Linked DNA regions of Saccharomyces cerevisiae S288C. The protein of the gene in region 1 binds, or shares a complex with, the protein of each later gene. Each region holds a gene or a part of one and is shown on either strand. Other genes may lie near its edges.

The links. Proteins that work in one complex are often made in the same cells at the same time.
Region 2: RPL1B (region 1) and RPL36B share a complex: the UniProt entries of both Saccharomyces cerevisiae proteins name them as parts of the large ribosomal subunit.

What each region holds. Positions count from the first base shown.
Region 1 is NC_001139.9:252,696-257,323, reverse strand, and holds RPL1B (60S ribosomal protein uL1 RPL1B), read right to left. Parts: upstream 2,684-4,628; coding exon 2,030-2,683; downstream 1-2,029. Other genes in the region: PCL10 (Pcl10p), read right to left, coding at 360-1,661; MRM2 (21S rRNA (uridine2791-2'-O) methyltransferase), read left to right, coding at 3,465-4,427; SEC27 (coatomer subunit beta'), read right to left, coding at 4,586-4,628. UniProt on the Saccharomyces cerevisiae protein: Component of the ribosome, a large ribonucleoprotein complex responsible for the synthesis of proteins in the cell.
Region 2 is NC_001148.4:73,796-78,174, reverse strand, and holds RPL36B (60S ribosomal protein eL36 RPL36B), read left to right. Parts: upstream 1-1,935; coding exon 1,936-1,951; intron 1,952-2,189; coding exon 2,190-2,476; downstream 2,477-4,379. Other genes in the region: GTPase-activating protein GYP5, read left to right, coding at 1-1,506; ATG41 (Atg41p), read left to right, coding at 3,456-3,866; YAH1 (adrenodoxin), read left to right, coding at 4,294-4,379. UniProt on the Saccharomyces cerevisiae protein: Component of the ribosome, a large ribonucleoprotein complex responsible for the synthesis of proteins in the cell.

The DNA.
Region 1 (4,628 bases):
TAAAACCATGAAATATTTCTATTTTAAGGTTAGACAATACAGAAGGGACAGAGAAAGATGTGTAGGCAAATATACATTTGTTTGAACCATAGATTCAACAGTAATTTAATGCGAGTAAAAAAATCACATTTTTATGTGCGTTTCGAGAGCATCAATTAAGAATCCGGGATAACTGTTGGGAAGCTCTGAAGTTTTCTCCAATATCGAGTACAGGTTTCCACCATTGCACGGAAATATAAACAGACTAAGTTTGTCGTTGTTTTATTGAGAAATTGTTTGTATCATATTACCAGTGCCGCTATTGACTGGAAAGCATTCGTTACGTTCGTTAAAATAATTATCTAAAATACTTGTATCAACTATACACAGAAGGACCGTAGTTCATTCAAAAGTAATTTGGAGGCGGCTAATTTCCTGTTACTGACCATTAATTTAGTATTGCACACACAGATCAATAGACTGACTTCTAATTTAGTCAAAAGCCGTTTCGAAATACCGCATACTTTACTAAAATATTCATGTGAGTGAACGAAATCTTCCAATAATTTCGTGCTCAATCTAACCGCTGCTATTATCATTCGATGGACCTCCTTTTCCTGTAAGTTTAACTTCAACTGCAAAATGTTATTGCCATCCCTTGTTAAAAACAACGTGTCAATTAAAAATGTTGCCACAAGGTAAACAGTTGGCTGGTACTCACATTTGTCTTGGATTCTCTTGAGAAAATCTGCTGATGATAAGGTGGGTTTACTTTTCATGTAGAAATTCGAGTATTCTTTTTTCTCCACTCTAGTATTGAAACCGGTACACTTTCTATTGCCACTAAGTTTTAGTAGTAGTTCTATGGTTTCCTTGAAATTCGCCAGAGCTTCATCAACCGATATGTGGGGCACTTCTACATCAACCGGTATGCCATGTAGCAACGGGTTTTCACTTTCGGACTTAGTTTTTTCTTGATCTTCTTCTTCATCGTGTGGTAGACTGATATGCAACCCTCCCATATCAAAGCTTGTAATGCTGCTACATTCAGAAAAAATGGAGTCATCAATATCTTGCTCCTCCACATCCGTAGCATCGCCAATTTCGAAACTGGCAGTTGGAGATTTGAAGAGTGGTGATCTACGGCGAGGTATGCTTAGCCCGTTTTGTTGATGGAAAAGATCTTTATCAAAAATAGAACTTGTGCAACCCGTGGTATCCTCTAGCTCATCATCACTTAGTTCAAAATTGGACGTTGAGCTAAAATTAGTGCCATTAATACACGCGCTCGAATCATCACCCATGGAACTATATAATCCTTTCCCTCCATTCAATAGCCCCACCTGAAAATTGTTTATGTTCTCTATATTCTGCGCCAAATAATTATTCATTTCATTAGCGGATTCCAACAGTTGCTCTACATGTATTCTATTTTTTGAACTATCTGTTGTACCGCATGGCTGTGCTTTCTCAGTCTTGCCTTCTGCAAGACCAGGCGTATTTGATCTAGACTGGTCCCATTCACTTGTTAAATCTGAGAAATTCTCACTCTGTAAAAACTTTGGTTTCAAAGGTAATTCGAACGAAGCGTTATAATCGTCCACAATTCCCAAACTGACTGGACGTATATCACCATCATCAAACTCCTCTGTGTCAGTGGTGTGGTTTTTAGTCATGTCCATTTTGCAAGTAATCTATTTGCGCATGGAATACCTATATTATGCGAGTCGAAGATTATATAATAGCAGGTATGGTTGAACTGATTGAACACCAAAGCATATCGATCTGTGAAATTCACTCAACATGCTTTTAAAGTAAGGCAAGTTCTAAGTGATTTCCTACAAAACATCGCTGAGAAAGGAAAGAAAAATGGCATGATATGGAGTAAGAATCGGATCGGTGCAATATACTCCGAGCTTCCCGAAAAGATATATTCCGGGCCCAAAAATATCTGGCTAAAACTATGCATAATACTTTTACTACTTAGAGTCATACGTATTAAAAAAGGTATTTAAAAAGATGGAGATATGTATTAATCGCTCGGAAGTGATTAGTACAATCTGAAAGCTGGACCCATGGAGGACTTAACAACCAAGGAACCAACATTTTGCCAGTTCTTCTTCAACAAAGAAACAAAGAAGTTAACAGACATCAAGATTTGGTTAACCAAAACGTCTTCTTCCATTTCAACGTTACCAACGGCAACAGCCAAACACAAGACCTTCTTCAATTGGAACTTGATGGTAGATCTGACATCAGTGACCTTACCGTACAAGTCATCGTTGTGAGAAACTGGGGTTGGGAACTTACCAGCCTTGGACAATTGAGGACCCAATAGTCTTGGAACTTGCTTGATCAAAACTTCGGAAGCAATGAAAGCGTTGTACTTCTTAGACAACTTCTTGATTAACTTCTTGTTCTTGTTCAACTTCTTCAAGTCATCGACGGACATAGCGTCAACACCGCAAGACTTAGCTCTGTCAACATCGAAAGCATCACCGAAGATACAGATGGACATGTTTGGTCTTGGACAGTTTGGCAACTTCAAAGAACCAGAGAAACGCTTGTCTCTTTGAGGGTCATAGTTCTTCAAACCGACTTGTAGTTCGACGGTTTCCAAGAAGTTTCTCTTCTTGGTTTCGTTGGAATACTTCAACAATTCCTTGACGTGTTCTCTGACTTGAGAAGAGGTGATCTTAGACATTTTATGATATGTAATTAGTCTTCCAAAGTATTTGGTGGTCCGTGAGGCTTGCGACTAGTTCTATGGAGTCTTTCCTGAAACTTCAAGAGGTTACCAAATAACGTAATGCTCAAGAAGTGCTGCGAAGATGTACTTACATATCTTAATCCAAATACAACACTCTTCCCATTGATTGCGTCTTTCTTCCTCGGACTTTCCAATCTGAGGCCAAAAGATGTCTATGGCATTATTGTGTGCGAAAAAAAAGTTTCAGGAAAAAAAAACTTTAAATATTTGAGGTTGCACCCGTGCATATTGAAAGATGTATGGGTTCAAAAATGTCCGTATTCAACTTTTGCCAAAAGCTGATAGCTGTTTGGCCTTATGAGGTAAGGTTTATGAACGCAGTCTTCTTCATTGCGATCTAAAAGTTGATATGTTAATGGAGATAATGGTAGAGTAAACTGAATTTTTTACAGTCCCCTTTCTTGAAATTAAGCAAGTTATTTAGCTAACTTACATACCATCTTCATGTATCGTTTTTGATTTTTCAGTTCTTTTTTAAAAAAGAAGATCAAGTAATTTGTTCTAATCAAAGAAGAAGGTTCAATACCGTTTCTCTGGTATTTGTAAGATCTCTTTTACTGGCGTTCTTTTAAAAATGATCAGGTCCGGTTAAAGGGCGTCTCCGTCAATGAGAGAAAAATGTCAGCCTCTGATATAGATGGAAGTCGTAGCCATCAAGATGGGCTTATCCGAGGTTTGAAGTAATGACTACACATACTGACGGGAAAATTACAGCATGATTTTAGTGTACAATCGTATCAGGAGTATAATATCGTCTTCTTTAGGTCGAATACATGTACGGTATAATTCTAACTCACAAAACAGATGGCTGAATAGACAACTGAAGGATCCCTACACAAAAGAGGCCAAGGTCCAAAATCTGAGGTCTAGAGCCGCATTCAAGCTTATGCAGATTGATGATAAATATCGGCTTTTTAGCAAAAACAGGACCGATCAGAGAATTCTAGATCTTGGGTATGCCCCTGGGGCTTGGTCCCAAGTAGCACGGCAAAGAAGTTCACCTAATTCAATGATACTGGGCGTTGACATTCTCCCTTGTGAACCTCCGCATGGTGTGAACTCTATTCAAGCTAATATATTGGCCAAAAGAACTCATGATCTTATACGGCTCTTTTTTTCTAAGCATTTCCAATTGAACAGACACGATGATTTGCATAAGGACCATGGCTATTTCCAGAACATGCTCGAGGAGGAGCTAACCCATGTGAAAGATACTGAATTGTACCGTGAAATTTTCACCTCTGATGACATTTATGAAACTCCGAATACGAATAGTACCCTAATAGAACGAGAAAAATTCCCAGTTGATGTGATTATAAGTGATATGTATGAACCCTGGCCCCAAACAACCGGTTTTTGGAACAACATTACTAATCAAGCTTATTTTAGGATGGCTAATACATCTGGTGTCAGTATAAGAGACCATTACCAATCTATTGATTTATGTGACGCAGCCTTAGTTACGGCTATAGATTTATTACGGCCATTAGGTTCGTTTGTTTGTAAACTATACACCGGCGAAGAAGAAAACCTATTTAAAAAAAGAATGCAGGCAGTTTTCACTAACGTTCATAAGTTCAAGCCTGACGCTTCTAGAGACGAATCAAAGGAGACCTATTATATCGGATTAAAGAAGAAAAGAAATGTAGATAAACTGGACGTGTTTAGTAATTCATAATATGATTTGTTTGCGCGCAAAGTTTCAAGTCACGTTCATTTTCACACCTATCGCAATAAAAATAAAAAGTGTACATCTGTATATATATATGTTTACCATCCATTAAAGATGTTTTCTCATTCGTTGATTAGTTCTTTATTTGTCTTTCTATGAGGTGGTTAACTCTCTTCTTCCACAGGCTCCGGCACTGCCTCTCCTTGC
Region 2 (4,379 bases), on another chromosome or scaffold:
ACATTTACGTCATTTCTGGAGAACTTGTCCGAGTATAACGAAGTGGAGAATGTTAATGAAGAAGATAGAGAAATGTTTAAAATTGATTGGTCCTTCTGGACTCAAGTAGTTAATGATTATGCTACAGTGGCAAGCAACGAACCAGAAAATTTAGAAGCCCATGTTACCAATGGGATACCACCACAAATTCGAGGTATCATTTGGCAGCTGATGGCGAATTCCAAATCAAGAGAAATGGAAGATATATATGAAACTCTATTGGATACCGAATGTCTTCATGAAGCAACAATACGTAGAGATTTAAGGAGAACGAAGTTTGTGGCCGAGGACAAAATGGAGTCACTATACAAGGTAATAAAGGTGTATTCTGTTTATGATCCAGATGTTGGGTACACGCAAGGCATGGGGTTCATTGCAGCGCCGCTATTAATAAACTGTGAAAACGAGGCCGAATCTTTTGGACTACTCGTTGGATTAATGAAGAATTATGGATTAAGAGAGCTTTTCTTACCAGGAATGCCTGGGCTGATGTTAATGCTTTATCAATTTGATAGATTATTAGAGGAGCATTCACCTTCTTTGTACAATCGCTTGATCCGTGAGGGAATTAGCTCCACAATGTACGCTACACAATGGTTTTTGACATTTTTCGCATACAAGTTTCCGTTAGAGTTTGTGTTAAGAATTTTTGATATTGTATTCGTAGAGGGTATTGAAGTGCTTTTGAAGTTTGCTGTAAATTTAATGTTAAAGAATGAAGAAACTTTAGTAAAATTGAGATTCGATGAACTATTGGATTTTTTAAAGGACGAACTCTTCAATTACTATTTAATGGGAAACCAGGATGACGCTTCTGTAGTGCAAATGGGATTGTCAAATGGGAACTCATTTAAGGGCAATGATGACGGCACTTTTTCCTACAATGTCGATCTTTTCGTTCATGATGCAATGACAGGTGTATATATCACACCATTAACATTAAGAAGATACAGGGGAGAGTACGTAGAAATCCATGAAAAAGAGCAAAAAAAAGAGGACCACTACGAATCACTAAGAATTCAAAACCACCAACTACAAAGAGAGGCGCAGAAGCTAGAACACGACTATTCAATTTTGAACAAAGAGAATATCAGCGCCGCTAACGAGCTGATTCAGAACAGATTGAATATGGAGATGCTGTTGGATGAAAAAAACGACCTGATAAATACAATCACTGATATCAAAAGCCAAATTGAGGAAGAGATTCGCAAGCAAAATTTACCGAACCCGGACGCGTCACTACCAAAGGCAGATCTGAGAGAAGACTTGGAAAGGACCATATCCAGGAACAATGAGGTGATGAGGGAGAACGGCCAATTAGAGGAAAGAATCACTGAACTGCAAGCGGAAATCGATGAGTTGATTAACATCAATAAGGAGCAAGTGTCCACGGCATCGTTATTGGAACGAGATTCTAAGGCTAAAGGGAGGAAAGGCTGGACTGGTTTTAAAAAAGTTTTTAAATAGATGTATAGTTTTGCGCTGTGTGCACATTGTGTGCCTCTCCAATTTGTGTTAAAAAATGCATCACGACTCGTTTAGACAATGTTGTTGTTGTTGTTTTTTTTTTGACTGTATTTTCACCCGTACATCCACGGATGTGTTGGGTTTTTGTTTCCGCTTTACCGTGCGGGAGACGACCATGACCGAGAGGTCTGGTTGCGAAAGACGCACATACCGCGTGCGCGGAACTTTTTCATTGGGTTGCCAACCAAGGCTGTTCAGGGAAGCCCGACGAGGGAAGCTAGCATGAATGCACTAGGAGAGAGAGAGAGAGAGAGGCAGAGGAAGAGGCACATCATTGCATTTCTTGAATATTCGTTTTAATTAGCGTTAAGTCTTAAGTTCGTGTATTACCATAGTCAAAACAGAATAGAGAAGCAAGGATAATACAAAATGGCTGTCAAGACTGGTATGTTTACCTGAACTAATGAACTGTAGAGCAAAAGCAAAATGAACTGAACCACTAAGCCAACAACAGAAATACAAACAGGATGAGATTAAGCTCCAGAGATATGCAAACATCGTTTATATCCTGCACCCAGCGTTGCAGTACTCCGTGGAGTCTTTGTTTATTTATTTTGCTCGTATACTACGTGAGTACTAGTGTGCTTGTTACTAACATAAGATATTCTATTTTTTTCCTCTAGGTATCGCTATTGGTTTGAACAAGGGTAAGAAAGTCACCCAAATGACTCCAGCCCCAAAGATCTCCTACAAGAAGGGTGCTGCCTCCAACAGAACCAAGTTCGTCAGATCTTTGGTTAGAGAAATCGCCGGTTTGTCCCCATATGAAAGAAGATTGATCGATTTGATCAGAAACTCCGGTGAAAAGAGAGCCAGAAAGGTCGCCAAGAAGAGATTGGGTTCTTTCACCAGAGCCAAGGCTAAGGTCGAAGAAATGAACAACATCATTGCTGCCTCTCGTCGTCATTAAACAGCGTGAGGGGGCCACAGTCAAGCAAATCCAACTCCGCCACAAGACCGAGTGCTATTTTCCATGGCTCTCCCCCAAAGCTAGTTAATAAAAAATAAGTAACAAATCATTATAGTAATTCTTAATCGATATCTATTTAAGAAGTGTAACAGCACATGCAATGAACCGACTTCGTCATTCATTACCTCTGCTTTTCCCTTTTTCAACAGTCACGTGCGCATCTCCCTTCCGGGTAAGCACCGCACATGCCAAAGACCCTATCCTGGCTCGCCCACTCACTCATCTCCATTAGAGACTCAACCACATTTGTGGGTGTGTTACAGAAGTTACACCATACCCACTGTCCTGGTCCGCAACAGTTGCAAAATCAATGATGCCTGCTACCGTCATGCTATCATGACAAACGATGGCACCTTTGCCAAGCAAAAAACTGTAAACAAAACCAAACCAAGAAGTCCCTTGGGGTTGTGAGCCATATTCTCCATCTGCGTTGTTTCATAACCAGCCCAAAGGGTTGCACGTTCTCTTCCGTCGATCTGGAACCAAGCTGTGGCGCTGCGTGGAACCGTCCGGAAATCTACAGAAGCCGTTAGAAGAAAACAGAATAAACACACGTGACCCCGTCAGTGTGGAAAGCCGCGGGATCACCACCGTTATTCGTTTTTTTTAGCACGCGCGCGAAGATGACACATTGCACACCACATGTTTATGACCATTGTTATTACTCATTTCACTGTTATTTTGCATCCACATCCACACCCGGGTGGTTTTGCAATTCGGTAATTACTCCACGGTGCATAAAGAAGCGGCTCTGCGTAAAAAGGTATATATAAGAACAGGACTCATCTTGATTTCGGAAAGGGTCTGGAGCAACTCTCTTTCTTTCTTACTTGTTTTATTCTTGAGAAAACCAAACTAAATTGGCTACACCAAACCAACCAAACTTACACACAATAATATACAATTACAATTATTTACAATGTCCTCTGTGGAATCTTCCCCCATCTCGCGCTATGAAGACGAGGTCTTCCCTCTTTCGTTTTCAAACGTTGCTTTCGAGCCCCCTATGCTCTCGCATAGCCCGGACAGATCGACTTATGCCGATGACTTTTCTCAATCTTACCAGCAAGAATTGCTAACTTTTCCGCTATCGTACCCGATTGTCGATGAGTCAGAATGCACGCACACTAAAGATAAGACGGACAGCAACATAATAACGAGTACTGAAGACGATTGCATGTTCGATATGGAATTTAACGGCAACGCCGCCAGTGCAGTTGCTGCTGCTAGTAAGGAATCTAACTCTGCCTCTGGGTTTGCCTTTGCAAGTAACGATGCCTTTGCCAATGTCGCACAACAGAACTACAGACTGTGGTTGTCATCGGTATGACGCATTTTACCACATCTCTACTTGTTCTCACGACCCCTTGCATCGCATATCCTACACATTTTAAATCGGCATTCCTTCCAAGCATATTCTTAATTCCTAATTTTACATAGTTTTTTTTTTTTTTTAGAGAAAATAACAACAATATACATAGAACTTACTTACTCAATTCTACTATATCTTTTTTTTTTGTTACTATTAGTCATGTTTGCATGACTCCATTACATTTTCGTTTTTTTGCTAGCCAATTCTGGTCGTCGGAAAAACTTTTCATTGAATCTTTCAAAGCGTGTAGCAGTTGCATTTTTTTAAAAATGAATATGTATGCAAAATATATATATGTATATATATGCCTAATATACATAATAATAGAAAAAAAAAACCTCATACGAAATAGGCGCTTCTCGTATCTATACTCAACCCGCCCCCAATGCTGAAAATTGTTACTCGGGCTGGACACACAGCTAGAATATCGAACATCGCAGCACATCTTTTACGCACCTCTCCATCTCTGCT